Macaca mulatta: one gene and its partners. The protein of the gene in region 6 interacts with the protein of the main gene of each other region in a pairwise test. Links are inferred from orthologs where the notes say so. Each region holds a gene or a part of one and is shown on either strand. Other genes may lie near its edges.

Region 1 (2,859 bases), on a different chromosome or scaffold from region 6:
TCTCCTTTAGGATGTTATGGGTATGATTTTATCAAAGAACAGTACATAACAAATTACTACCTAGGAAGGCATCAAGACGTCAAAACATTCTTATTTAACAAATACATGCCAACAGGATAAATATCCTATTCTGCCTACGTCATTATTTTAACAAACCACGTGGATGCATTTTATAAATTCAAGCACCAATATAATGGCTTAACTTCCTAAGTGACTAAACATTTCAAATATTTTCAGGAGAGGAAGCACAGATCGAGCAAAGCACATTTGGGGTGATGATGTGCCACTGTTAGCATATTCTCCAGGAAGCCCACAGCAACATGTTTTTTCTTTTTTTGGAGACAGGGTCTCACTCTGTAGCCCAGGCTGAGAACAGTGGCATGATGATGGCTCACTGCAGCCTCAACCTCCTGGGCTCAAGTGATCCTCCCACCTCAGCCTTCCAAGTAGCTGGGATTACAGGTATCCACCACCACACCTGGCTAATTTTAAATTTTTTTGTAGAGACGGGGTCTCACTGTGTTGCCCAGACTGGTCTCAAACTCCTGGGGCTCAAGTGATCCTACCACCTCGGCCTCCCCAAGTGCTGGATTACAGGTGTGAGCCATGATTTCCAATGTAACTAATGATCCAAGACTTCTGGGAAAGCTGACTCACACTTTAGAAAACCAAATGATATCAAGTGCAATGTTAGACATCACAAAGAAATCACTCAAAGTATCACACCAAGACACTTCAGCCCATTTTGGTACTAGTTTAGACACTTAAATTTTGAAATATTCCAAAAAGGAATTTATTAAAACAGCTACTGCGTATTAGTTTTGTTCTAAATTACCTCTTCAAATTTAAGCTTCACATCCTCAGATCCAGGAAAGCCACCGCCAATATCAAGGAGATACATGCTGAAACCAACCTCAGCCTAGAATCAAGAAAATCAGTCAGTCAGATCCACAGCTAATAAACAACAAAAACGTATGCAGCAGATAGGCTGAAACCCATGTAACACAGGACCAACTGCCAGAAAAAGTTAGCTCTAGAATTAAGACTAGTTATTGTCAGTTGTGCCCCGCCCTTTGCTAACGGGGTCACGTATACTCACCCCCATGTCAAAAACACAGCGGGCATCAGAGATTGCCTGCACGAAGGTCTCAGGATCGGTACAGCCGCTTCCTACATGGAAGCTGGGGGTAAAATAGAGACAAGACACTGTGTCTTAGTATTTCTTAAAACAATAGCAAACACTAGGAGAAAGGCTGTAAACCTCAAACTGTTTAATGACCTTCAGCTATCCCACCAAGATCTCACCTGACACCAACGACATCGATATTCAGCTCTTTTGCCCGTTCCAAAAGGAGCCTGCTATTTCTGAGCGTGGCACCGAATTTAACACTGAGACGACAGACTGCTTTGGAATCATCAGTGGCAATCCGCAAAACCAACCTACAAGCAAGGAAAGTGCAGCAAATGTCTCATGATAGATGTTCACTTACAGCCACGATTAAAATAAAAACAATCCTGTTCTAAACACTGTCGCTGATATATTCTGTAGTTTGAGTCCCAGGCTTCATGACTCAAGGAGAGTTTCAACTTTCTACTAAAGTACAGAAATATAATCATCAGAAAATTAAGTTTGTTTGATAAAAATCCACGTATCTTATGCCCCTGATCTTGCCCTCAGATGGGGGAATAACTCACTTTGCTTTTGGATGTGCTCTGGTAACTTTCATCAACTCAACTTCACTATCAAAAGTCATCATCTGGACTCCATTATTAGCAGCATACTTAATTTGAGATACTTGTTTACAAGGATTTGCATAGATAATCCTCTCTGGAGGCACCCCCAGATTCTGCACCAACTGTATTTCAGTCTGAAAAACAAGAGTGGTGTCGTGCTGTCCATATGTGGCTTAACAGGTGAAATAAACAGAAAAGCATAGGAAGTTGTGATGTGCCCCGCCCCACCCCCACCCACCTGCCTTTAGTGAGCATTTATTGCCCAAAAAACACAACTTGTATCTGCCCTGTGGGGAATACCAGGACCGTTTTATACAACTGCTTTTGAGTCCTGCTGCTATTACTTACCTTGCTAGCACAGTCAAATCCTGTCCCGACAGCAGCAAGGGTCTTCACGATGGCTTTGCTATCATTACATTTGACTGCATAAAAGGGGGTGACACGAGGGAGAGCTTTTAACCACCTCAGATGTTTCTTTAGAATGTCTCCCAGGTCTGCCACATAGAAGGCATCCTTATCATCCTGAAACAAGAGTGGTCACAGGTGACTCACTAGCAGTCTCACCACACACCACACCAACAGCCATCGACCTTCTTTCCCATCAGTCACAATGAATCCTGCTCTTTTGAGTCTAGCCACTGATATGAATATCACTATTAATTTACCACCAGTGAATTAATTTCTACATTCCGTAACAAGACACAGAAGCCTCACCGCTCTTCCTCAGACCTTGCCAAAGTTTTCCACTTGCCTGGCATTCTCAGCTGCACTGCCAGCATGGGTCTCATATACTTACAGAAAAAGAAACTTCATTAATTTTTTGGTCCAGAATGTCCTTGGCAGTAAAACCTTCATCGAGGAAGTGGCAGTCAAATTCTTCATTACCAAAGTTGTTCATGATTTCTTGATGTTCCTCTGAAATGCAACAAAATGCAAATAGAGCGGAGAAATTCACTCAGAAGCCTTAGCAATACAATTCTTAAGATTAACCTGCAACCCAAATGTAAACTGAACACTTACATGGAAAACTAAGAGATGGAATTCAAAGAAATATTTCCAGCTTCTCACAAAGGCAACTCTCCAGGAATTCCAAATCCCTCTGCGTGTGCCCTTGGAGCAGCAGTG
Region 2 (4,281 bases), on a different chromosome or scaffold from region 6:
CTGGTATCCCCCAAGGTGCCTCTGGGCAAGACCTATACTCAAGATGAATCCTCAGGTGTGAGGGTCAAGTTGAGAGGCAGCCCCTCCACCTCCCAGGCCCTTCCTGGACCAATGTTGCACATGGTAGCCTCCCACCATTGCCTGTGGGCAGGCTGGTGCCCGCTCAGCATGAGACACTTGCACAGGATTACCTGCTTCTTCTAGGCTGGCCTCTGAGTAGCAGGACAAGTAGTCAAGAAAGGAGACAGTGAGTGGATCTTTCGGTCAAATGGGGTAACAGTTACAGTTTGGAGATTTCTCAAAAGTTAAAAACAAAAACAAAACAAAACAAAACAAAACTGGCCGGGAATGCTGGCTCATGCCTGTAATCCTAGCACTTTGGGAGGCTGAGGTGGGTGGATCACTTGAGGCCAGGACTTCCAAACCAGCCTGGTCAACATGGTGAAACCCCATCTCTACTAAAAATACAAAAAAATTACCTGGGCGTGGTAGTACATGCCTATAATCCCAGCTACTTGGGAGGCTGAGGCAGGAGAATCATTTGAAAATGGGAAGTGGAGGTTGCAGGGAGGCGAGTTCGAGCCACTGCACTCCAGCCTGGGCGACAAAGTGAGACTCCATCTCAAACAAACAAACAAACAAAAACAACCAAACAAAACACTATCCAGGTGGCTTGTGAAAAATCAGCCTTTCCGTAATAAGAAAGCATTGCCTGTCAGCAGGTAGAGAAAGAAAATATCTGATTGTAGAGGTTTCATTGGATAAACGCTGGTGCCCTTTCAAATGTATATTATTAAATACCTGTTTGAAATTTTCTACAAGGTCCACCTTGTTTTTCCCTGCTGCATGTCACAAAGTCTCCTCTCCCCTAGCTGAGCCATATGAAGCCCCTCCTACTCTGCTGACCACAAAGCAGCTTTCAGGGGAAGTTTTAGGCTGTACTTGTGTGTAAAAGAAAGCCTGCTATTTTAATGCATTAAAAAAACTGGGGTTTGGTGCTGGCCCCCAGCCTCTGGTTGTGAGCACCCGCTCCTTTACTGCAATGCAGTCCCTATAAATAGCAAAATGTTGTCTGGATGATGATTGTTTGCTTTGTTTTAAAATTCTGAATCTCTGGTCTTACTTTATCTAACATCAGCAGCCCTAGGTTCGTCTGGGACCCCTTGTGCCATCTGTCCCTCTTAGGGGGAGCAGGTTTGCCCATACTGAATGTGCAACGTGCAATACTTCACAGAAAGTCCTGGAAAATGGACCAGCGTCCTTCCAGGGGCCTGGTGTTGGCAGCAACTGCCAAGTCACATGGGTGTGGTGGGGATACACGTGTGTTGGGAGGATGGCCTCACACGCCCCCTCCTAGGCAATCTCTTTCAGGCAGTAAGGTATCCTAGAGAACCAAAGCCACAGGCTTCCATTCGAAGTTAATGGTGGTGGCCCCAGAAAGACAATTCACATGCCCAGTTCCTGGCTTTTTATAATAAGAGACAGCTTGGGATCTGGGTCGGCAGGCAGTGAGGACAAACCCCCTGCTGAAAGGCTGCTTCAAAGCTCTGTCCAACCAGGCCTCTTTCTCTGTCTGGCAGCTCCCTAGGGACACACAACCTGGTTAGCTGGGGGTTGACTGGGGTCCCGAAGGGATGCACCCTAAACTTCCGTCAAAGCCTGAGCCCTGGGAAGGGCTGGCGCTCTGAGCTGCAGGAAGAGGGGCTAAGATGAACTGAGGGAAGGGCTGTGTCCCGGCTTAGAGGCCTGGGGGTCAAAGGGAGGAAGAAAGGGAATTAAGGGAGGAGGGGAAGGGAAAGAAAGAAGCCTTTTGGGAAAACTCACCCTCCATAGCTTGCATCCCTCGTCGTTCCAGGGAGCCCCAGCGTTGGCCCTTCTTCCTCTCACAGCCCTCAGAGGCCTCATAGGAGCCTAGAGTGGTCACTGTGGGTCCTGAGAGCACGGAGAAAGGAAGGGCTGGGGGATGGGGGACTGGCTGCGGGCTGGGGTGCAAAGAAGGGGACATGCCTTCCAGCTCCTCGGGGCTCTGGGATCTGTAATCCCAGTGGAGGTGCCTGACTCACTCTCCCGTCTCTGCGACTCCTCTCTCTCTCCACCACCTCTCATGCTCTGCCTGCGGAGACCCCAGTCCTGACGCCCAGCCTCCTCAGAACCCCCTGTTCCAGGCCCCTCTTGCTTGCACAGAAAGAGGGGGTGTGCGTATTTAGTCCAGGGAGACAGGGAGGAGAGGGGCAAGACAGAAAGAGGGCGGGAGCCAGTGAAGAAGAGGCTGAAAGGGTGAGGTGGCCTACGGAGGGAGGGAGGAGTGGGGGGCGTGTGGGAAGGGGTAGGGCAGCGACCGCTCCCCTCCCCTCCCCTCTCATTCTCTCGCTGGACCTTGCCCACCCCACCCTCGCCCCGCGCTCAGGAATCTCCGGGGCTGCAGGAGGTGCGGGGTCTGGAGCCCCGAAGGCTGGAAGCACCGTTGGACTGGAGTGGAGAGACGCGCTGGGGAGGGACCACCAGACAGGATGCGGCCGGTGCGCTGAAGCCCCAGCCCCAGGCCGGAAAGATGGAGACCGGGCCCCGGTGGAGGCCAGGATGGAGGGAGGAAGACTCTGGGCGGAGAAGGGGGAGCCGCGGAGGCCAGGAGCACCTGGGGGTCTGGAGGGAGGAGGGATGGAGGAGAGAAAGGAGGGGCGGTGGAGAGGTGAGGGAGGGGCGGCTCTGACCTGGTCCCGGGCAGCTCCAGCCCGCGGCTCCCGCGCCGGCTCCGGCGCCCGCCTCCATGACCGCTCCCGCCGCCGCCTTACGCCTCCCCGAGCAGAAGCCGCAGCCGCGAGCCCGGGGACCCGAGCCGGGTGCGCAGGAAGGGGGGGGGGGCGGGAGAGGGGGCGGGGCCTGGCCGGGCCTCCTGACACCGCCCCCCGCCGCTCGCCGCCGCCCGGAAGCCCTCCCAGCACTCGGGAGCTCCGAGCCGGTGCAGGGGGCGGCTTGGGAGGGTGAGCGCGACCCCAGATACGCCCCAAGTCTCTCCCCGAGGGAGCGTGGGGAGCTGCGGGGCCCGGACAGTGTCAGGAGCTCCTAGGCTTAAGGCTGTCCCAAGAGGGAGGAGCGAGATCCCCTGGTTCTGGCAGCAGATCCCCCCGGGATCTGCTGTGCGCAGGGACCCTTCTGCACCAGGTGTCAGGGCCCAGTCATGCTCAGCAATGGGGACAGCAAAGGACGAGGTGGGACTGTTTCCTCCAAGCGCACAGACACGCGCGCCCCTCCCTCCTTCCCTCCCCCGCCCGGCCGGCGCCCCCACCAAGCAGTCGGCGCGGACTCCGGCCTCAGGCCCTGCTCAGCCCTGCCCGGTGGCCCCTCGGCAGCCTGGGGGCCGGAGGAGGGAAGTCGAGGCCCTGATGGGCGAACGGCAGGGCCCTGACCTTTCCGCTTTCTGCGACCCCCTACCGAACCAGGGCCAGGGACCCTCTTAGGGGGGCCCTCCGGTGGCCCCACCAAGCCTCAGGGCCCGAAGACCCCCTCTCCTCCGCCCTGCCTTCCCTTCCGGTCCCACACCAGGTGGGCTGTGAGCCACGCCCCCACTGTAGCCCGCGAGAGTGGGCACGACTGATGTTCACTCTCGTGGAAGGGAGATTTGGAAGCCCAGGGGGCTTATTTCACGTCTTCCACCATTCTTTTATTCAAGCTATGTCCACTGGGTGCCGGCTTTTGAAGAGGCAGTTCTCACATCTCGGCAGGTCTCAGCAAGGATAGAAGTGGGTACAGTTCGCAACAGGGGCTCCCCAGCACATCCAGGAAATGGCTGGGAGATTCCTAAGCCAGGGACACACGCAGATCCCTTCTCTAGCACATTCACTCACATTGTCTGCGTTCCCCCCGCTGCAGGAAAGGGGTCCGGATCCAGACCTCAGGAGAGGGTTCTTGAATCTCACGCAAGAAAGAATTCAGGGCAAGTCCGTAGAATAAGGTAAAAGCAAGTTTATTAGGAAAGCAAAGGAATAAAGAATGGCTACTCCATAGACAGAGCAGCCCCAAGGGCGGCTGTTTGCCCATTTTTATGGTTATTTCTTGATGATATGCTAAACAAGGGGTGGATTATTCATGCCGCCCCCTTTTAGACAATGTAGGGTAACTTCCTGCCGTTGCCATGGCATTTGTAAACTGTCATGGCACTGGTAGGAGTGTAGCAGTGAGGATGACCAGAGGTCACTCTCACTGCCATCTTGGTTTTGGTGGATTTTGGCTGGCTTCTTTATTGCAAGCTGTTTTATCATCAAGGTCTTTATGGCCTGTGTC
Region 3 (3,500 bases), about 51 Mb from region 6:
TGCCCAGGTTGGTCCTGAACTCTTGGGCTTAAGCAATCTGACCATTTTAGCCTTCCAATATGCTGGGTTACAGGTGTGAGCCACTGCACCCAGCTGTAAACATTTATAAATAAAAGTATTTGCTTCAGAATAACCTACGCTGGGCCTAGGAATGGAAGACAGCATGTAGGTAGCAAGATTAGTTATGTATTGATAATTGGTAAAACTGGGTCATGGGTAAATCAGGCTCATTATTCTTTTCTCTCTACTTTTGTATATGTTTGAAAATGTCCAGAATGAGTTTTTCGAACGGGGATGGTGTGCAGCCCTAGGCTCATTTGAACTGCATGTTCTCTACAAAGATTGCACAGTTTGGGGTATGGGTATGGTGTTCGCTGCCTGGTGAAGATGGGGATCTTTCCTAATCTTTCTTAGACCCCCATCTACAGAACTCCAGGGTTGTGACTATAGCCCATTATCTCCATCCTTTGTTCCTCAGCTTTTCCTGTATTCTCTACATGACATTAGAAAATGTGGAGACTCAGCTGATTTAAATGGGACATATTTAATTATTAAGCCCTGGAATCCTAGTATCTACTCTCCTCCCCCTACCCAAAGCGTTTTCTTTTCTAACTTTTAGTCAATATCCTACTCCTGACAGCAGCTCCCCACAGACGTGACCTGTTAAAACGGGGCAGACTGTCCCAAGTGCACCTAAGTGCACTGTGCTCTGTGCTGTGGTGGCAGTGTAACACAGGGCCAAGAGCTCAGACCTGGACTCAGACCTGGTCTAGATCTCAGCTCTATTGTAATCTCAGCCTGTCTGTGGTCTTGAGAAAGCTACTAAACCTCTCTGGGTCTCTTTTTTGTTATCTGTAATATGGGGATAATCATAGTATTTACCTCACAGCTTTACTGTGAGGATAAAGCCTGAAAATGCTGAGTAGAGGGCCAGTTACCTAGTCAGTGCCCAGTAAACAAACTAGTCCACTTACCAACCATGGTGGCATGCATAATGAACAGATCTATCCATCCAGGCATGCATGATGGTCAGATCTACCAGAATGTCCAAGCACTCTCTGAACGAGAAAGCCTGGACATGGCCTGCTGTGGCCTCAGGACATGGGCTTTCAGCTCACATCAGGCTGGCACTGGCCTCTATATGAGAGGCCTAACCTCTGCCCTCACACCCTCCCACATGCCCATGTCAAGCTCCACAAGGTACCTGTGTCCTCTGGGGAGCCATAGGAGGGGCTGCCCTGGGATAAGGTAGCCCAGCTTGAGTCCTCGTCACTGGCTGCACTGTTCCGCATGCCAAACAGCAGGCTGGCACTCTTGCTGTGTTCCCGGGGGCCATCTGTAAGGGCTTGGGGCCTGGGAGGGGCCTCCACACTCTCCAGGGTCTCAGGCAGCCCTGGGGGAGAAGATAAGTCCTCCTCCTCCTCTTCATCATCATCCTCCTCCTCCTCCTCCTCAGCCTCCCCTGCCGCCTTCTCCTCTCCCTCATCTGGCCCCTGCTCTTGAGTGCTGATGATCAGGCCAGGTCCTCGTAGGCCTCGGTTGGCCGCGTTGTGGGCTGAGAGCTCCAGCTCAGAGTACAGGTGTATCAGGCCTTTGGGGCCCAAGGGTGCCATCTCAGGCTCCTGGCTGGCCTCCTCCGCCAAGGTCAAGGTCACATTGCGGTTCTGGTCACGGTGGGCCGTGGCGGCCCGCCGGAGTTGGTTCTGGCCCTCTTTTAGCCACTTGGCATTGGCAGGGCCTGGTTCAGGCCCACCACCCTCCCCCATGGCGCTACGCAGGTCCTTGGGTCCCACAGCTGTGGCCTGCAGCTTGGCGTTGAGTAGCTGGTTATGGGCAGCGTGCAGAGGCAGGGGTAGGCTCAGTGTGGGGCCTCCGTGGCTGTTGGCATTAATGGCCGACTGGCTCAGTGATGATGGAACAGACATGGCCTTGGCAGCTCCTGTGGGGTGGGGAAGGGAGATGCTGTTGAGCCTCTGGTCCAGAACAGCAGCATCACTGCTTCTGCCCCAGGGCTACGCCCTGTGCCTCCTCATCTCCCTGCACTAAGCAGGCTAGCACCCATGGCTCTCTATCCTATGAGAATGACTGGGCTCATCTTCTGTCCCAGCACTATCGTCCCCATCACAGGCCAGGCCCAGGTCTGAGGCTCAACCCATCCCTATATCCCCTGCCCTGAGCTTTCTGGGATGGCACAGCTGGTGCCTGCTCCGCCCTCGATCCCACCAGCAGGGCCTCCACACAATGGCTCTCTGTGCCTCCCCACCCCCCAGCTCATCCACCCGGGGCTTACTGTGCCAGGAACACCACTAGAGTGGGACTGGCTCGTGTGTTTTGGACACTGATCACTGACTGCCCCTCTCCTGCTGCACTTCCATCCCAAGCCCCACCACTGTAAGCTCCTCCGGCTGTGTTCCTATTCCCATAAGTCACTCAGCTCAACCAGCCCCCAAGCCCACCCCATACTAGGGACTGTGAGGACAGGAGGAAATAAGCTGCAGAACCAGCCCTACAGGGCATGGCACAGGAAGGCAGGTCACAGAGGGAGGGTGCTCGGTTGCAATTCACGGCTCCGCTGGCCAGATGAAGCTACATCTTGGTGACAATTTCCATGAAGTAGCTCCCCTTGGGCACCGGTCCCTCTGCCAGCCCTTATAATGCCCTGTCCTGGATCACTATGGGAGCCTTTCCCCTGGGCCCTTCAGCCTTTCAGATCTTTGCTTTTTGGGGTTTTTGTTTGTTTGTTTTTGTTTTTGAGATGGAGTCTTGCTTTTGTCACCCAGGCTGGAGTGCAATGGCAGGATCTCAGCTCACTGCAACCTCTGCCTCCCGGGTTCAAGTGATTCTCCTGCCTCAGCCTCCTGAGTAGCTGTGATTACAGGTGCCGACCACAACGCCCAGCTAATTTGGTATTTTCAGTAGAGATGGGGTTTCACCATGTTGGTCAGGCTGATCTCAAACTCTGACCTCATGATCTGCCCACCTCGGCCTCCCAAAGTGCTGGGATTACACGCGTGCACCACTGCGCCCGGCCCAGCCTTTCAGATCTTTGACCAAATGTCACAGCCTCAGTGAAGCCTTCCCTGAACACCCATTTTAAAACCACAGGCTACCTCAGTCCCTCCTCAGCAATCCCTAACTCTTCCCCAGCGCCTGTCACCATCTGACAAGCCAATTTGTTATTTACTTTGTCTAATGATTGTCTCCTCAAGACTACAATTTATAATCTCCGTGTTGGTGAGGATTTTGCCTTTTTGGTTAAATACAGTATGCCTAGTGCCTAGTGTAGTCTTGGCACAGAGCAGGACCTCTATTAATATTTGTTGAATGAATGTATGAATCAGTCCCCATTTCCTCCAGGCTTCGCTTTGGCCTCTCCTCTGCCAGTGTCAGAAAACACTTTGGTTATGTTACTGAGCCTCATGGTGCCCCACACAAACTCCACCTGCCTTTCAGGGAAGTGGACGCCCTGTTCTACAAGGCCAGCTCCCCTCCCGACACCT
Region 4 (4,191 bases), on a different chromosome or scaffold from region 6:
CCAGCCCCCGCCCAGTGCGAGTGGGCGGCGCCGCGCGGGGGAGGGTCCGAGGGGCGTCTCCGCCCCGGGACGCGGACACGCGCAGGGACACGCGCAGGCACCCGCGTCACGCGAATCGCCCGGGGCGCACGTAGGGGCTGCTCGGCGGCAGTCGGGAGCCCTGCCTCCGACGCCTTGTGACTGCGTGTCCGGCGGCTCGGTTCGGCTCGACGCGGCGGCGGCGGTGGTCACCCTCCGCCCCAGCCGGGGCCCCGGGGCCAGCGGCAGCTGGTCATTGTTCCAGCACAAAGGGCCACGGCACGGCGGCGGCCGCCCCTCCCCCTCCGCTTCTCCAAGCGAAGCTTCCTTGACACGCTCTCAGCCTCAGAGTCCCAAGCGAGAGAGGTCGACGACCGGCCGTCCCCCACTCTCCGGTGCCGGGGCCCCGCGCCCTAGCGCGAGTCGGAGGCCGAGGCTGTGTCCGCACCTGCCTCACCAGGGGCGGGTTGGAGGCGGCAACCTGGGCTTCGCAGAGGCGGCGCCACCTGGCGGCCCCCTCGGAGAACACACCCAGCCGCCCCCCACCACGCGGGCCCTGACCCACTCCCCGGTACGGTGCCCTTTTCCCCGCGAACCCAGGCCGGCCTCTGGCGCGGCCCCGTGCTCCCCAGCCTCCCCTCGGGACCGCTTGCTAAGACAGAGGTCATTTCTCGGAGAGAAGCGGCCCCTGGCTCCCCAACAATCACTGGGGCAAACCGGTCCAAGCCTACAGCCCAAACCTACAGGAGCCGCACGGCAGACAACATTCCACTTTCTCAAGGTCGCAAATATTCTCACCTTCTCGCACACAATACAGTCTCCCTAACACCCACGCGACCTTTCCCACATGCAGCCTCACCACGCAGCCACAAGCAGTCTCAGCTGTCACGTGGGTCCGCGTTCCTTCTTTCCATAATCTTCCAGTCCAACTCACACACAGACACGGTGTCACAGGCCTGTTGGGCACAGGCTTCCACAACAATCCGCAGTCCTTCGCACCCAGTCACTGTCTCAAATGCACTTAGTCTCCTAACCATCTTTCACGCATTGACAGCCTCTATTCACAGTCACTCACACAGACAACTTCTTACAGCCATGCTTCGCAAATATTCTACCGCACAGCCTTTCCCCTAGGGGTCTCGGTGACCCGGTCAGGTCAGCTGATGCCTGCATCCCTGGGCAAAGACAGCCTTTCTCCCCTAACCACCCCCTCCCCCGCAGGGCCAAGGCCTGCCAGAGCTCGCCCGGGCCCCAGGAAGGAGCATCCCCCCCTTCCAGGCCACAGCCCTGGCCGGCTCTCAGCTCTATTTTTAGCTCCATGGACAGGGTTGTTTTTCTTTCTTTTTCCCTGGAAAGGGAAACACAGCCCAGCCACCCTCAGACTCACCCCAGACCCTCAGCCTCACAAGAACAGACTGAGCCCCTCTCCCCAACAGAGCCCCCTCCTCTGGCCTTGCCCTGATCCCTGCCTCCTGGGGCACCGAGAACCTCCTCCCCTTTCTGGCAGCCTGCCCAGCTCAGGCGGCAGCTGGGCTCAGCGTGTGTGTAGGGGTAGGGGGTGGGGCGGGAAGAAGGCATCGAGCTACTGCCCACTCCCTCATTCCCTGGGGGCAGGGGCTCGTCCTCCTTTTTCTAGGGGTCTAGGCCCACTCTGGTATTGAGGGGGCGTTTACACTCATGCATTTTCTGCGGGGGAGGAGACTCCTACTCCGGCAAGGAGTGGAGGTGAGGGTAGGAAGGGGACCCGCAGGCGCTCAGGCAGCTGCTCTCTGGGCTGGCGGGAATAGGCGGGGGCAGCTGTCCACTGCCATCAAGGGCCTGTCTCCGAAACCTTCGGGGATGCAGATACCAAGAATGTGCTGGGGGAAGGACGTACAGGAGCCCAGGTTAACCCCAGCCCTGCCCAGCAGCCCGGCCCTCCTGCTCCGCCCCGGCTCCAGGGGGCGCTGTGCTCCGGTTCCTGGGAGAGGGCTTATCCCGGCTCCAGGAGGAGAATGGAACGCCGTCCGGCCTGGAACCAAGCAAACGCGCCTCGTGGTGGGGTTGGGGGCACAGGCCACTGGTGTGCGGAGCTGTCACGTGCCCGGCGCCTGTTTACGTCTTCGTCTTCACCTGTGGGCGGCCAGGAAGCAGGAACCTCTGGGTGCGTCCCACCCGGCCCGCCCCCGTCGGCGGTCACGGGGCTGCCCCTTTCCCGCACCCAATGCGCGACCGCAGAGTGCCCTGCCCGCTGTGGGTCCGCGCGGGCTGATTGGCGCTGTCCCTGGGAGTGCAAGGGTAGAAAACTGGGCGCGTCCTTTCCGACTGCATGTGTGTTCGCGTGTCCCAAGTGCGGGCGTGGGTCTGTGCACGCGTGTTTGGGGCCCGTCGGCGTGCGTTTTCGTGTCGCTTCCCTGTTTGGACTCTTCGCGGGCGACCCACCAAGTGCGGACCCCCCTCCTCACTCCACCCCTAGCTTCCCCAGAAGCGGAAAGTTCGTTCAGGAGCGGGGATGTGCGGGAAGCAGGAGTTCCTGCACCTCCGCGGCCCCACCACTCACCCAGCGCCACCTGCGCCTCGGCTCCAGCTCTGGCCCCGCTCCTGCTCCAGCGCGCCCACCTCCTTGCCGCGACAACGCCGCCTCCCTAGCCCGCTCCGAACTCTGGGCTCCGAACTCCGGGCTCCGGGTTCCGGGCTCCCGGCTCCCGGCTCCGGGCTCCCGGCTCCCGGCTCCGGGCGCCCGCCTGGCCTGACCTGGTGGGGCGGGGCGGGGCGGCTCAGGCCGCGCCCCCCACCCAGGGAGGGGAGGGGTCTGTCCCGCACTCCACCAACAGCCTACCCAGTTCCCAGCCCCACAGGGACTCGACGGTGGCCGAGGCTGCCCCTCTGGCCTTCGCCTTCACAGTTTACTGGATTTGGTTTTTGACGTGGGGAAGGGGGCGAGCATCTCGTGACCGATAATTCGACTACCTGGCTGCCTTAAACTAAGCTGCCCTATAGAACTTGACTCTGCCACCCTCCCTGCTCCGTTGGGAGCCCAACCCGGTCCACTCTTGACCCAATCCCCAAATATAGGGAAAACCCCTGGGAATCAGACAAAGGAGGCTCGAGTTTCACCAGAGCAGCTCCCACCTGCCCCCACCATGCACACACCTCAGCGTGGGGCTGCCCAAGCAGAACCAGCACAGCCCCCTCCCTAGAGTAGGTGTCTGCCCAGGTGAGCAGGCCTGCCGGTTCTGACCCCCCACGGGGCATGACTGGGCTTCTCTTAGACTCATAAAATCCTACCCACAGGCACAAACAGGAAGTTGTCCTGTATTGCAGGGAGGCCCCAGGGGCTCCCACCCGCCATGGCACTCAAGGCAGCATGTGGGAAGGTCTTTAGGTATCTGGGCCATATGGGCTGCTGGAGACCTCGGTGAGTTGTTGTTTTTTGAGACGGAGTCCCGCTGTGTCGCCCTGGCTGGAATGCAGCGGGCGCGATCTTGGCTCATTGCAACTTCAGCTTCCAAGGTTCAAGTAATTCTCCTGCCTCAGCCTCCAGAGCAGCTGGGACTAGAGGCATGTGCCACCACGCCACTAAAAATACAAAATACACTAATTTTTGTATTTTTAGTAGAGACGGGGTTTCACCATATTGGCCAGGCTGGTCTCGAACTCCTGACCTCGTGATCCACCCACCTCGGCCTCCAAAAGTGCTGGGATTACAGGTGTGAGCCACCACACCCGGCCGAGCTGTTTATTATTAAACCCATCCACAGCAGAGAGGAAGCTGCTGGAGGACCAAAGCTGCCCCCTCATAGCCAAGTGTGACATACACTATCAGTTAGAGGACAAGGCTGTAGATCCAACTGGACCTGGCTTAGCCAGGCCTTTCCTGAGTTCTCGGGGAAATGTTTTTGAATTTTTTTTTTTCTTCCCAATCCACTGAACCTGTGAGTCAGGGAGATTCTTAACATCCAGTTGGGTGTAGGCAGACCAGTCCTATCCCAGGGAATCTGCACAGGCCCTAGGGACCCCCCACTGCTTTCTAGAATCCAGGGATCTGAACAGGCTGGGCCCGATCATGATGTGGGTGTTTAAGGCAGGTATGGAGTAGAATGTGTTTGTGCAGGGGGTGGGGCTGGGGAGAGTATTAGCTTCCCCTCCACCTCATCCTTCTGGTTTGTGCTGTGTGGGGATGTCTACTAGAAG
Region 5 (4,238 bases), on a different chromosome or scaffold from region 6:
CTCTGCCACTTAAAGCTGTTTGTGACCTCAAGCAAGTTACTTAGCCTGTCCAAGTCTTGATTTTTGAACTGATAAAATGAGAGATAAATGCGAGGATCACATGCAAAGCTCCCATCACAATGCTGGCATACAGTAGTAATCAAGAAATGTTAATTCTAGACGTCAATTCTTCCTACATGACACATGAATTTTCCCTAAAGAAAACTGATGATGACAAAACAGACCCCTACAATGATCCCCACACCAAGTCACATCCATAAGGCTCTTGTTACCTTGGCTGAAGCTGGCCCCTTCCAGTTCAAGTATTGCTCTAGTTCTGTGCCCTTAGCCCGGGCCCTGGAGGAGTCAAACACTTTCCTCTTGGAACCCTGTATCCTGCTGCAGATGTTGGAGTGTCTCTCCAGCCTGAACAAGAGGAATTTTCGCCCACAGTGGCTGCACTCACCCAGCTGTGGCTCTTCAGTGGAGCCGCTGGAACCTGAGGAGTCTGGTGCCATGGACAGGCTGGAATTTCTGGCAGATCCCTGCAAAGCACCGCCTGGTGTTTCTGAAGGCGGGGAGAACTTCTCCATCGACGGCTCTGAGACTCGGTCTCGAATTTTGTTATTGCTTGCTACCAGCCTTTCCCTTTTGAGTCTCTGAATTCTATAATCAGAGAGCTGGAATGGACTCGAATTTTGTTGAGACCGTTCCCAAGTTTCATCCTCTCTCCTGTCTCTACTAAATTCTTCCTCAAAATCAAATTCTGGGGAGAAGACAGCTTTGTGCGTGGTGTTGCTGTTATTACCTTTAACTCTGCTCCTGGGGAATATAATTTTCTGTAGCTCTCTGTTTTCATTTTCCTTGGCCTGCTCCTTTTGCGTCTGGATCCTTCTGAGTTCCTCCTCTGTCTTCTTCAGCTTTCCCCTCAGGAGAATCTGCTTTCTTCGGATTTCCTCCTCTAAGCTCTCCCCTGCAGCTTCTAGTCTTCGGATCTGCACCCACTCCATCCTGTCCAAGTTTGCCAAGGCCTTCTCCGCCTGCATGGCAGCAAGAACAGGATCAACCACAGAAAAGTTGACCTGGTTCCTCACATCAAAGTTCCTGGATGAAAACTCTCTCAGTTCAGGGGGCCTTGGGTAGACATTCTGGTCCCCATCAGTGCCAGACTCACCTGTACTGCACGACTTCCTGTGGACCACGGGTTTCAGTGGGTACGCCCGGTCCACTCCAACTCGTTTCTTTGTAAAGGGGATAAAGTCCTGGTTATTGGCTTTGGGATACCAGGATTGAGGGCCTGATGAGTAAATTTGTTTTACTTGGCCCTGGAAATCACTTCCTGCATCTTGGTGGCTGATTCCAGTACAGTGGGGATAGGAGTAGCTCCGGGCTTTTGTGTTCCATTTGGGGTGAGTGTGGACTTTATCCAGAGTCAACTCTTTGTTGCTCAAAAGCTGCTTCTGGAAATTGTTCCTCAGGTGCCCCTTCAAGGACTGCTGGGAAGAGTCACTTTGTTCGTAAGAGTCTTGCTTGGCTGAGTGGGGCCCTGGAGCTTCTGTTGTATTATGTGGAAGCATAACGCCCACAGGCAGATGTGATGCCAACCGCTGGAGACCAGCCATTCAGGGCCTGGACTGATGCCTACGGGAGATTTAAACCAGATACATGCGAAGAGTTTGTCTGAGGTTCACTCTCGTCTGCTAAAGCAAACTATTTCTACATTTGCCCTGCCCACATTTCCTTAAACTTTTCTGGGGACAGTGGTGCTGGATCTGCCAAAGCTTCCCTTCAAAAACCATTTGGTGAGTGATTACTATGCACAAGACACTGTGTTAGGCCCTGAGGGTAGAGAAACGGAGGTGCTACAGGTGTTCCTGCCACCTAGCTCTCCTCTCCTCCAGCACCAGCCTCTGCCACGCACAGTATACTCTACAGTAAGTGGAAAGAGCATCGGATTGAAAGTCAGGTTTTAGGCCTGTAACAGGACAAGCGACTTCTCCCTTGCTGGCCCCCGTTTCTTCACCTGTAAACTGAAGGGTTCCGTCCGAGTCCATCCTCACCATTTTACAGGTGAGCAAGCTGTGGCCCAGAGGTAGTGACTGGCACAAAGAGCTCTCAGGGCTTCCCTCCTGCTGGAACCGTGCTTGATTCAAAAGAGCACAGAGGCTGCTAGGGCCTGGAGCAGGTGCCTGGCTGTCAAACCCTCATCTCAGGAGTCCCCGTGGCGCAGACGGTAAAAGTTTTGTAACCTGAGCGTTGAGGGCCACCTGACCTGGCTGCAGCCGGTTTTAGATCCTTAAGGCTGAAGTCACGTTCTGTCCCGAAGGGTCAACTGGGGCGCCCCCACTACGGACTCCGCCTCTGGGGACAAGTCCTCTCTCTCTCCTGCCCTTCGGGCCCTTAGGAGGTGCTGACCCTCTGTCTCCCCGCCCTTCTGCGTACCTGAGGCCCTCGGGCACCGCTCCTGCTCAGGGAAAACCCCAGGGCCTAGTTTCCCAGACCCGACCTCCCCCTCAACCGACGGCCGCGCAGGCGCTCTCAGCTAGCTTCTGTTATTCCCGGTGCCTGGAGACCGAGTTACTGGCGGGCCAAGCTCCGCCCCTCGCTGCGAACTCCTTGGGGAGGCGTGCGCAGGCGCAGTGCACCAGCGACCCGGGGCGACCGGGGGTGGGGGGTGCGGTCAGCCCGACCGTCACTTGACCCAGTCAGTGTCCGGCCAACTCTGCAGCCGGGTCCAGCCCTGCCCTTGGGGAGCCGAGGAAGGGCGGGAGAGGCTTTTCTGGGGCTCCATCAAAGAAGAACTTGTACTTTCCTGAGAACGATGCTCCCAGACCTTGGGGTGTGCCCTTCACTGGCAAAGGGCGGAGGCCCTGGCTGTGCCTCCGCGTGCTTCCGCCGCAGGGTGCAGGCGACCGCCTGCCTGGTGGGAGCGGGGCTGCTGCTGACCTTTCTCGGCGCGCTTGGCTGCGCTGGGCGGGCCCCAGGTATGGCTGCACGTGCGCGCTCCCTGCTTGTCGTCGCCAAGTCTTTGGAACTTGCTGCCAACGTTTTTGCTACGCAGTATCTTTCCGGGGTAATTTTTGTGGCCAATCTAATTATTTTGATATTATAATGTTTTACTCTCACGTGGTAACTCTAGCCGTCTGTACTTAGGGCGTAGGAATGACTCAGCCAAGTGTAATGATAATAAAGAACTACCAGATCGAAAATAATCAGTATAACCTGGTTTCAACAGTAAATGATACTCTGTAACTTGTTGACATCAAAAGAAAGTTTATTTTTTTTTCTTCGTTTCAGTTCATCTGTGTAGGACGTTGGGAACAGGCAGTTCGCTTTTTCCCTGTAACTACTCAATTCATGCACTTGGAAAATAATGTAGACAAGCAGTCATCAGTGTTAATACTTCAACATGTCATATTACAGCTGTTACCTGTTACAAAGAAATTCCTTGGTGGACCCTCCAGGTCAGTCCTTCTTTTTTTTTCTTTTCTTTTTCTTTTTTTTTTTTTTTTTTTAATTCCTCGTTTTCATCCCTTGTTGCCTGCACCACCTCTACATATATGCAGCTCCAGATGTTTGCCACTCTACTCAGGGTCCCAATTATCAACTCCCGCAGCTTCCCTCAGCAGAATGTACGGGCTTTCTCTTTCTCTCTCTCTCTCCTCTTCCTTCTCTCCCTTTCTTCTCTGTCTCTGTCTGTCTCTGTCTCTGTCTGTCTCTCTCCCTCTCTCCTTCCCTCTCCTCTATGAGAAAGAAGGGCCACTTTCCATGAGTTCTCTTGAATTAGTGCTTTTCAGTACCCTCCGGGAATTGACTCCATCACTTTACCCCAGCGTTTTGTTTTTGTTTTCTGTTTTGTTGGTTTTGAGGGTTTTTTAAAATTTGTTTGTTTTTTGAGACAGAATCTCACCCTGTTGCCCAGGCTGGAGTGCAGTGGCGCAATCTCAGCTCACTGCCACCTCCGCCTCCTGGGTTCAAGTGATTCTCCTGCCTCAGCCTCCCGAGTAGCTGAGATTACAGGCGTCTGCCACCACACCTGGCTAATTTTTTGTATTTTTAGTAGAGATGGAGTTTCACCATGTTAGCCAGGCTGGTCTTGAACTCGTGACCCCAGGTGATCCGCCTGCCTCAGCCTCCCACAGTGCTGGGATTACAAACATGAGCCACCACGCCCGGACTTTGTTTGTTTTGAGATAGGGTCTCACTCTGTGGCCCAGGCTGGAGTGCAGTGGCACAATCACTGCTCACTGCAGCCTCGA
Region 6 (4,006 bases):
GGTCTGGAGAAGAGAGGACAGTCAGGAACAAGGGCAACGTGGAGAGTGCTGGGAAGGCAGCTTCCCTGGACCCCTCATACCAAGTGACGCTGAAGACACTTGAGGCTACGGCCGTACTTGAGGCAGAACTCGCACAGGTAGAGAACAGGCAATGTGGTGAGCTCCTGTGGGTACGGGGAGAAGTACCACGGCTTGAGGCGGTGCCGGCCCAGCTCAATGCACTCGATGTTCTTCATCCGGGTGACGATGTCGTCGTGGCTTCGGTCAGACACCAGGCTGCCAGTCATGCGTGGTGCTGATGGTATTCCATCTGAGCTGTCCTGGGAGTCCTGCCCAGGGCCAGTGGAAAATACCAGGTTAGAAGAGACAGCTCAGCAGGACACCACAGCTCACAGCCCTTTGACAGGTTTCCTGCAAGCCTAACAGCAACCCTATGGGGGAGGTACCATGATCCCCAATTTCTGGATAAAAAACCTGAAACCCTAAGGGATTGATGATGTGGAAAAGATCACTGAATGACCCTTGTTTTTGAGATGGAGTCTCACTCCGTTGCCCAGGCTGGAGTACAGTGGCATGATCTTGGCTCACTGCAACCTCTACCTCTGGGGTTCAAGCAATTCTCCTGCCTCAGCTTTCTGAGTAGCTGGGATTATAGGTGCCTGCCACTACGCCTGGCTAATTGTTGTATTTTTATTAGAGACAAGGTTTCACCATGTTCGTCAGGCTGGTCTCGAACTCCTGACCTCAGGTGATCTGCCCGCCTTGGTTGGCCTCCCAAAGTGCTGGGATTACAGGTATGAGCCATGGCACCCAGCCCCAATGACTCATTTGAACCATGTTCTGCCTGGCTCCTAATCCCACCAACACTAGCCCCGCCTACCACCCCTTCTTTATTTTTAAACTCATCACTAACTCTCCACCCTGCTTGCATCCCTTCCTTTTCACCCAGCTCCTTCTGTTGCTCCCCAGACCCACCTCATCAGTGCCCAAACAATTCGATTTTCGCTTCCGTCCTGGCTGGGCTGCCACTGCCCTACGGGCTGCTCCATTCTGCAGATATAGTAGTAAAAGAAGGGATGGCTGTGAGATGAGCCTGAAAAAGGCCACCAGAGAGTAGAAGAGAGAAAGGGAACAAGAAATGGTTTGGGAAACTCACCTGGGGAAAAACCGAGGCCGGGGCTGTCTCGCTGGGCACTGGAGTTGCTGGTGAAACCACCTCCACCTTCCGTTTCTGCAGAGAGAAACCAACAAAGGTGGGTCAGAAGGTAGAGAAGGTGGGACCTGAGAAGAAAGCAAGGTCCCTGGAATTGCTGAGGGTACCGTTGAGCGGTGGTTGGGCTGCAGGCAGGAGCTGGAGGAGAGCGGCTGGTCAGGCTCGCCACCGGGAATGGCCTCCCGCTCCTTGGGCAGGTTGAAGCGGAGTGTGATCTGGACCGGGATTGGCAAGGTCTTCCCGCTTGCCTGGGCCGAGGCCGGCTGTAGAGATAGGTCCAGGGTCTTCCTCTGGGGCGGGGATGGCAGTGGAATGGGGAAGGGGAACAGGGGTCCCTCAGCTCAAAATTATCAAACCCCACCCTCGCCTTCTGAAGGACACAGGACTAGCTACTGGACTCTGGGAGCTACATGTGCAATTCGGCCCCCATCCTTTGCAAGATGAAGTCAGGGTGAGAGGGAGCCGCCTACTGCCCATCCAGGAGCCCCTAATGCCAACAGATAAGAGAAACACGAGGCAGGAGAGAAGAGGTGAAGTGGGGGACCTACTCACCACCTCTCTCTCTGGAGAGCCGGGACGGGACCCAGGAAGTCCGTTCTTGGTGGGGGTCTTGGCCTCTTTCTTCGGGAACTGGATCTTCTTTAGGTCCAGCCGCTCGTGCGTCACCCATTCATCCAGACGTTTGTTGACTGCAGCAGTGGGGATGGCTCAGGACAGAATGCCAAAGACTGTTCCCCAACCCTACCCTGATGCCCCACCTCAGGCCCAGAACTCACAGTCAATGTAATGGACGTAGAAAAGCTTCCGGCCACTGATGTCCTTCACGCTCAGGATCTCAGCCAGGGCTATGGGAATAGCATAGGCAGGGGCCTTAGACGGGCCGGGCCAGGCTGAGACTCCACCCTTCCACGACCTGAACTCCACCCCAAGGCCGGATCCCTAAGCTCCAGCACTTAGAAGGTCTCTCCTAAGTCTCCTTCAGTCACTACTGCCACCCCTTTCCAGGCCCCGCCCTGTACCTCTCGGAGCAGCTAAGAGCCACGCCCCTTCATGGGAGTATCTGCGCCCCGCCCGCCCCATAATTCCAGAGGCCCCTCCCCATCCCGGGGGTTCAGTTGACTCCCTCCCGCCCCTCGCCCTCAGGTTCCTTAGCCCCGCCCCCCAACGTCACTCACGCCACTCATCTTCGTTGTCCTGGTTCCGCCGCAGCACGGGTAGGCGGCAGCCCTCGATTATCTCCCCCTGGGGAGACAGCGCGGCGCCAGGGTCGGCTACTGGGGGGCCTCGGGCTCTACCCACCTCCCCTGGCTCCCTCCGCCCCGCCCCGGGCACCGGACTCACCACCTCCGCCATCTTCCCTCCCTCCACTGCCACTTCCGGCCCCTGTGGGAGACGTCACTTCCGGGACCGAGCCCGCTGTAGGCCCGGGCCTCACGAAGCCCCTGTAGAGGGGGACCTTTGAGAGTCACCGCGACCCAGTTGCAAGGGGCAAGACTGCCCCTGTGACTCCTGGGAAAACGAAGTGTTACAAGCCTCAGGCCGAGTCCTAGGTGGAAACCCCACAACGTGCACAGCGATTGGAGAACTACTGAGTCTGTCACGTGACGCCCACCGGGTGCGACGCTGTTCACGTGGATGCGGAGCGGGTCACGTGGCAATACCGTTTGGGCTTTGACGGAGGGCAGTCCTCGGGCGTCTCCTTGTGGCGGCGGGAGGTGTTGTCGGGAGTGAACTGCGCGCGAGAGGCTGGAGAAAGGAACTGTGCTTAGAGGGGCTCGAACGCTCCCCCAGGTCTGTGGACTTCATTCCGTAGGCAGGAGGACTCAGGGAAGATTTCTAGCTTTATTTCGTGTATTAGGCTTCTTTTATTTTTGAGACGGAGTCTCGCTCTGTCGCCAGGCTGGAGTGCAGTGGCGCCATCTCGGCTCCCTGCAACCTCCGCCTCCCGGGTTCAAGCGAATATTCCTGTCTCAGCCTCCAGAGTACCCAGCTAATATTTGTATTTTCAATAGAGGCGGAGTTTCACCATGTTGGCCAGGATGGTCTGGATCTCTTGACCTCGTGATCCGCCCGCCTCGGCCTCCCAAAGTGCTGGGATTACAGGCGTGAGCCAGGGCGCCCAGCCATATTAGGCTTTTTTTTTGAAACAAGGTCTGTGTCGCCCAGGCTGGAGTGCAGCGGGGGAGGCATAATCTCCGCTCACTGAAGCCTCCGCCTCCCTGGATCAAGTGATCCACCTCAGGCTCCTGAGTAGCTGGGACTACAGGCGCGCACTACCAAGGCTGGCTAATTTTTAAAAATTTTTGCGTAAACAGGATTTGGAGACTGGGCATGGTGGCTCACACCTGAAATCCCAGCTACCTCCAGCCTAATCATGAGAAAAAGATCAGACAAATACCAATTGAGAAACATTCTACAAAATACCCCATGAATACTCCTCAGAACTGTGAAGATGTCACTGGTGGAGGGTGTCCAGATTCTTGGCATCTTAAAGAATTGGACAAAACGGCTGGGCGCGGTGGCTCACGCCTGTAATCCCAGCACTTTGAGAGGCCGAGGCGGGCGGATCACGAAGTCAGGAGATCGAGATCATCCTGGCCAACACGGTGAAACCCCGTCTCTACAAAAAAAAAAAAAAAAAAAAAAAGATACAAAAAATTAGCCGGGCGTTTTGGCGGGCATCTGTGGTCCCAGCTACTCGGGAGGCTGAGGCAGGAGAATGGCCTGAACCTGGGAGGCGGAGTGTGCAGTGAGCCGAGATCATGTCACTACACTCCAGCCTGGCTGACAGAG
Region 7 (4,260 bases), on a different chromosome or scaffold from region 6:
GCCTTCTTTAATGTCCCATCTGCAATATGACAACAGTTTCCAAGGTGTCTCCCTAAAGTCAATGCCACTGTCATCTAATCTAAGATTTTTTAAATTCCAATTTTTGTTATAATTTTTTAAACACACACCTGACAATATCATTCACTTGTTCAAAGGGCTCAGTACTATAAACCCTCATGGGGCCTTTGTGATCTGGCCCTTCCTGTCTCCCCAGCCCTCGCTCTGTGCTGTCACTAAACAGGCTGGAGTTTCCTGAATGTCCAGTGCTGTTTCACTTCTCTATGGGTGCTGTTCCTTCTGCTGGGTCACTGAGCCTTCCACTTGCCTGCCAATTCATCCTCCTACATGAAGGTTCATTATTTCATCAATAAACACTTTCCAACACTTCTCATGAGTCGAGCCTGGGACAAGTTCAGGGAGTACAATGCTGAATGACACTTTCCAACACTTCTCATGAGTCGAGCCTGGGACAAGTTCAGGGAGTACAATGCTGAATGACACACTCAACCCTTTGTCATAGAAAAAGTAACTTCAGGGCTTTCAAAGGAGGAATAAAGTTTGGAAATTAAGGTAAAGTTGTCTGAAATTTAGCAGTGTTGCCTTTATTAGTTGGATATCTTAGCAAACTGTGGAAACTTGGAAACCTTGATACTTGGGCATCAAGTTCAAAAGTGTCTCAGCAGATTTCAATTGTAACAGTAAACTGTGATATGGTAGATTTATTCATTTTGGCTCACAAGGCTATAATGTGCTAAAAAACATTGATTTGAACTACAAAAACAATGATCAAAAACTTGCTTCAATATAGTGTTACAAATTTATAAAGTATTAGGCAGGGCATGGTGGCTCACATCTGCAATACCAGCACTTTGGGAGGCCAAGGCAAGCAGATCACCTGAGGTCAGTAGTTCGAGACCAGCCTGGTCAACAGGGCCAAACTTGTCCCTACTACAAATACAAAAGTCAGCTGGGTGTTGTGGGTGCCTGTAGTCCCAGCTACTTGGAAGGCTGAAACACGAGAATTGCTTGAACGCAGGAGGAGGAGGTTGCAGTGAGCCAAGATTGCACCACTACACTCCCGTGTGGGGCAAGAGAGTAAGACTCTGTCTCAAAAAACAAAACAAAACAACCTATTAATTAGTCATACCATTTCCTAAAAGTCACGCTGCTAACTAAAGGTGACTGCAATGATCTAGGGATGGTAATCTGCTGAGTTTACTCTTTAAATACACTGGAACCCAGCAGATTGAGTTATATTGGGACAGAAACTTCACTCTGGGTATAGATTTACCCTAGCACCTTGTCAGCAGGATCCTATTATTCATGGTTGTACAAGCAAGGTTCAGGGAAGAGGCTGGCACAGAGAAAGTACCTGTTAACTGTTGTTTGGGACTGAATTCAGCTCAACTCAGCTCCAGTAGAGATGGTGCTCCCTTCTCTACCGTGTTGAGATAGTGTGCAGTCCCTTCCTAGGTGCTGCTACCCACCACAGTGGGGCCTGTCAGCTTCAACTTTTAAATTTCTCTGCTCCCGCTGGGACCCACCCGCTTCAAAAAGCACCATGTGGTTTTGGCATCAATTTAGTAAACACACACTGTCTGAAATATTTTGATTTTAGAGAGTTACAATCACCACATTAAATGATACATTTCTACTATTCAGTGAAAATGGTAGCAAAATGGTCATTGAATAATGAAATTAATTTTCTCCTGGGCTTCTGAGGCAAAGCACATGATTTTAGTGGTTATCTTAAATCAACCCAGTGACCTTTACTGGCATGTTGTAACATCAGGCGCCTTAGGAAACTGAAAACTCAATCGTCACTTCCCATACCACTGCCCCAGGTCAGCAGGGCAGGCATTTCACATCTACAGTCTCATTTTAAATACAGACAGAGCAAGCCTCGCTTTTCAAAAGTTCATTAACAAAGTCTCACAATTAAGAGAGCAGCCCTGTGACTCATTTTTGGATACCTGTAAATAACAGCTCCTCCCTTTGCTGAGAAACGGCTGAAACAAGCGCGTGAGAACCACAGGAAGTAATACAGATCTCAGCTGGTGTCAGCGGAGTCTAGAAAAAGGCAGAATTCCCTCTCAGGACGGCGTGGTTCTCGCAGGCATTGCCACTACTTCTCTCCATTTTTCTAAAACAAAGTCTTACGTGGGCTGCGAAGGGACTGCTCCAAGGCTCTATCAATTTCTCCGTCTTTCTTGGCTACTGAGTGACACTGCCAAGTTCAAGTCAAGAAGTACCCATTCTGGTGTTTTTGACACAGTCACCCTAATAGGAAGTGAAGAGGTGATAACACAAAAACACTTCAGTCTTTCGATTTAAAATAAAATAGTCTTAGGTGGACACTTTAAAAAGGCAGCCTACCGACAGGTATCCCTAAAATAATTCCTGTGAAGCACTAAATCCTAAATCCCTCAGCCTCTGAAATTAAAAGTAATTTTAAAAAATCATTCCGCTTTATATGAGGAACCCAATCCTGTGTTTCCGAAGGTGCCCAGAGGCGGCGTGAGGACCTGCGCCAGATCCAAAATCCCAACTAAGGCGCAGCCGCGGGTCCCGAGCCCAGACAGTGCCCCCGCCCGCCTCCCGGATCTCTCAGCGCACGGGGAATAGTCAGGAAGAGAAATGGGGGGTCAGGAAGAGAAATGGGGGGTCAGAAAGAGAAATGGGGGCTCAGGGAGAGAAAAACAAACCTGGACCCGGAACGAGAGCGCGAACTGAGAAGCCTCTCTCCCCGCAGGGCGCGCGTCCCCTGTGGGCGCCGCGATGGGGAAGGAAACCTGTTGCGCGACTCCCGGCGGCTCTGCTCCCGGCGCCTCCTGCGGCCGAGGCTGGGCTCCTCCACAGCCGCCCGAGCTCCGCGCCGCCGCGGCCGCATCTGGGCGCCGCCGGCTCAGCCCCCGCCGCTTAGGAAGCTACCACAGCTGGGGACCAGGCCCCGCCCCGGGATGACAGCGCCGGGGCGCGGCAGCAGCCGGCTCACAGAGCACGGGTTCCCGCCCCACCCGGAGTCCGTGCGCTCGGGACCGCCCGGAGCCGGGGACTCGCTCCAGCCCCTCCCGCGAGCCCCGGGGCGTTCCCGGGGGCGGCGCAGACCGGCGCAGGGAGTGGGATGTTAGCCGCCCAAGACACTTCCTCCGCTCATCCTCTGGTCCCCAGGTCAGGGAGTGCGATGGACTTTCCCCGGGAATCCCCGCTGCGCCGGTGACATTTGCAGTCCGGTGCGTTTCTGCGGCAAGGACGCTGGAAGCGGTCTCTGAGCGTGGGTGTGGCTGCGGAGGCTGCAGCAGGTCCTGCATCCGCGGGACCCTCGAGGAGGCGGGCGAGGAGCCTGCGGTCACACAGAGGCCGAGCACAGCCTTCCCAGAACCCGGCCGGCCAACCCATCTCCAGTCGGCCTCAACACCCGCCAGGCTCATCATTCCCTGGATATCAACTGAGCGGCCCCTTGTATTCCCAGGATAACACCGCGCTCAAAAACACTGCCAAGACCCTCCCTCCAGGTCCCGGCACTTTAACGGGGAGAGATAAACATAAAGTGTGGATTGTGTCAGGTGATGGTAAAGCACCTTGAAAAACAAGGCTGAGGCTGAAAAGTAAGGAAGTGATACTCAAGAAAGGAAAAATCGGGCCGGGCGCGGTAGCTCATGCCCGTAATCCTAACACTTTGGGAGGCCGAAGGGGGCGGATCTCTTGAGCCCAGAAATTTGAGACCAGCCAGAGCAATATGGTGAAAGCCTATCTCTACAAAAAATAAAAAAAAATTAACTGGGCGTGGTGGCACGCGCTGTGAGCCCAGCTACGCGGGAGGCTAAGGTGGGAGGATCACTTGAGGCCGGGAGGCCAAGGATGCAGTGAGCCGAGATCGCGCCACTGCACTCCAGCCTGGGCGACAGAATGAGACGCTGCCTCAATTGAATGAGAAGAAAAAAAATAAAAAATAAAAATAAACGAATCCTGTCTTGATGGGAGAATGTTTAAACACAGGAACCACCTGAAAGAGCTCCCAGTTGCCAAAGATGGAACCACTGAGCAACGAAGTAAACTGAACAAAGTAGTACTGGATTACAAACCAAAGTAAAAAATATCCATGAGTCTACACTGATATAAATAAATAAATAAATGAATAAATGGCAGAGAGGAGACAAATCTCCTATACAGAATAATTCCAAATAATTTATGTAGATCATCTACCCTAGGCTGTGCACAGTGACTTCCTCCAAAATAGTACAATGTGGAAAGGGGAAA

Evidence for each region.
Region 1: the proteins of KAT5 (region 6) and ODC1 interact in binary tests that used the Homo sapiens proteins (3 or more experiments, as listed by UniProt). The two-hybrid records come from large-scale screens. The link is inferred for Macaca mulatta from reciprocal best matches to the Homo sapiens genes KAT5 and ODC1.
Region 2: the proteins of KAT5 (region 6) and CCDC136 interact in binary tests that used the Homo sapiens proteins (3 or more experiments, as listed by UniProt). The two-hybrid records come from large-scale screens. The link is inferred for Macaca mulatta from reciprocal best matches to the Homo sapiens genes KAT5 and CCDC136.
Region 3: the proteins of KAT5 (region 6) and APBB1 interact in binary tests that used the Homo sapiens proteins (3 or more experiments, as listed by UniProt). The link is inferred for Macaca mulatta from reciprocal best matches to the Homo sapiens genes KAT5 and APBB1.
Region 4: the proteins of KAT5 (region 6) and LZTS2 interact in binary tests that used the Homo sapiens proteins (3 or more experiments, as listed by UniProt). The two-hybrid records come from large-scale screens. The link is inferred for Macaca mulatta from reciprocal best matches to the Homo sapiens genes KAT5 and LZTS2.
Region 5: the proteins of KAT5 (region 6) and ZC2HC1C interact in binary tests that used the Homo sapiens proteins (3 or more experiments, as listed by UniProt). The link is inferred for Macaca mulatta from reciprocal best matches to the Homo sapiens genes KAT5 and ZC2HC1C.
Region 7: the proteins of KAT5 (region 6) and STX11 interact in binary tests that used the Homo sapiens proteins (3 or more experiments, as listed by UniProt). The two-hybrid records come from large-scale screens. The link is inferred for Macaca mulatta from reciprocal best matches to the Homo sapiens genes KAT5 and STX11.

The regions. Positions count from the first base shown.
Region 1 is NC_133418.1:114,369,730-114,372,588, reverse strand, and holds part of ODC1 (ornithine decarboxylase), read right to left. Parts: 5' UTR 2,755-2,859; intron 2,650-2,754; 5' UTR 2,633-2,649; coding exon 2,531-2,632; intron 2,257-2,530; coding exon 2,083-2,256; intron 1,869-2,082; coding exon 1,696-1,868; intron 1,441-1,695; coding exon 1,306-1,440; intron 1,182-1,305; coding exon 1,100-1,181; intron 920-1,099; coding exon 836-919; intron 1-835. UniProt on the Homo sapiens protein: Catalyzes the first and rate-limiting step of polyamine biosynthesis that converts ornithine into putrescine, which is the precursor for the polyamines, spermidine and spermine.
Region 2 is NC_133408.1:168,424,754-168,429,034, reverse strand, and holds the start of CCDC136 (coiled-coil domain-containing protein 136), read right to left. Parts: upstream 2,801-4,281; 5' UTR 2,770-2,800; coding exon 2,712-2,769; intron 2,301-2,711; exon of another isoform or gene 2,107-2,300; coding exon of another isoform or gene 2,064-2,106; intron 1,933-2,063; coding exon 1,825-1,932; intron 1-1,824. UniProt on the Homo sapiens protein: May play a role in acrosome formation in spermatogenesis and in fertilization.
Region 3 is NC_133419.1:59,372,656-59,376,155, reverse strand, and holds part of APBB1 (amyloid beta precursor protein binding family B member 1), read right to left. Parts: intron 1,940-3,500; 5' UTR 1,926-1,939; coding exon 1,205-1,925; intron 1-1,204. UniProt on the Homo sapiens protein: Transcription coregulator that can have both coactivator and corepressor functions. Adapter protein that forms a transcriptionally active complex with the gamma-secretase-derived amyloid precursor protein (APP) intracellular domain.
Region 4 is NC_133414.1:113,059,187-113,063,377, reverse strand, and holds the start of LZTS2 (leucine zipper putative tumor suppressor 2), read right to left. Parts: upstream 2,801-4,191; 5' UTR 2,558-2,800; intron 2,162-2,557; exon of another isoform or gene 1,895-2,161; intron 1,247-1,894; exon of another isoform or gene 817-1,246; intron 1-816. UniProt on the Homo sapiens protein: Negative regulator of katanin-mediated microtubule severing and release from the centrosome. Required for central spindle formation and the completion of cytokinesis.
Region 5 is NC_133412.1:148,262,367-148,266,604, reverse strand, and holds the start of ZC2HC1C (zinc finger C2HC domain-containing protein 1C), read right to left. Parts: upstream 2,801-4,238; 5' UTR 2,422-2,800; exon of another isoform or gene 2,003-2,421; intron 1,621-2,002; 5' UTR 1,602-1,620; coding exon 273-1,601; intron 1-272. Other genes in the region: ACYP1 (acylphosphatase-1), read left to right, coding at 2,801-2,963.
Region 6 is NC_133419.1:8,680,893-8,684,898, forward strand, and holds the start of KAT5 (histone acetyltransferase KAT5), read right to left. Parts: upstream 2,801-4,006; 5' UTR 2,567-2,800; coding exon 2,389-2,566; intron 2,059-2,388; coding exon 1,990-2,058; intron 1,903-1,989; coding exon 1,766-1,902; intron 1,504-1,765; coding exon 1,321-1,503; intron 1,232-1,320; coding exon 1,157-1,231; intron 1,051-1,156; coding exon 976-1,050; intron 330-975; coding exon 81-329; intron 4-80; coding exon 1-3. UniProt on the Homo sapiens protein: Catalytic subunit of the NuA4 histone acetyltransferase complex, a multiprotein complex involved in transcriptional activation of select genes principally by acetylation of nucleosomal histones H2A and H4.
Region 7 is NC_133409.1:49,410,910-49,415,169, reverse strand, and holds the start of STX11 (syntaxin-11), read right to left. Parts: upstream 2,801-4,260; 5' UTR 2,706-2,800; intron 2,281-2,705; exon of another isoform or gene 1,974-2,280; intron 1-1,973. UniProt on the Homo sapiens protein: SNARE that acts to regulate protein transport between late endosomes and the trans-Golgi network.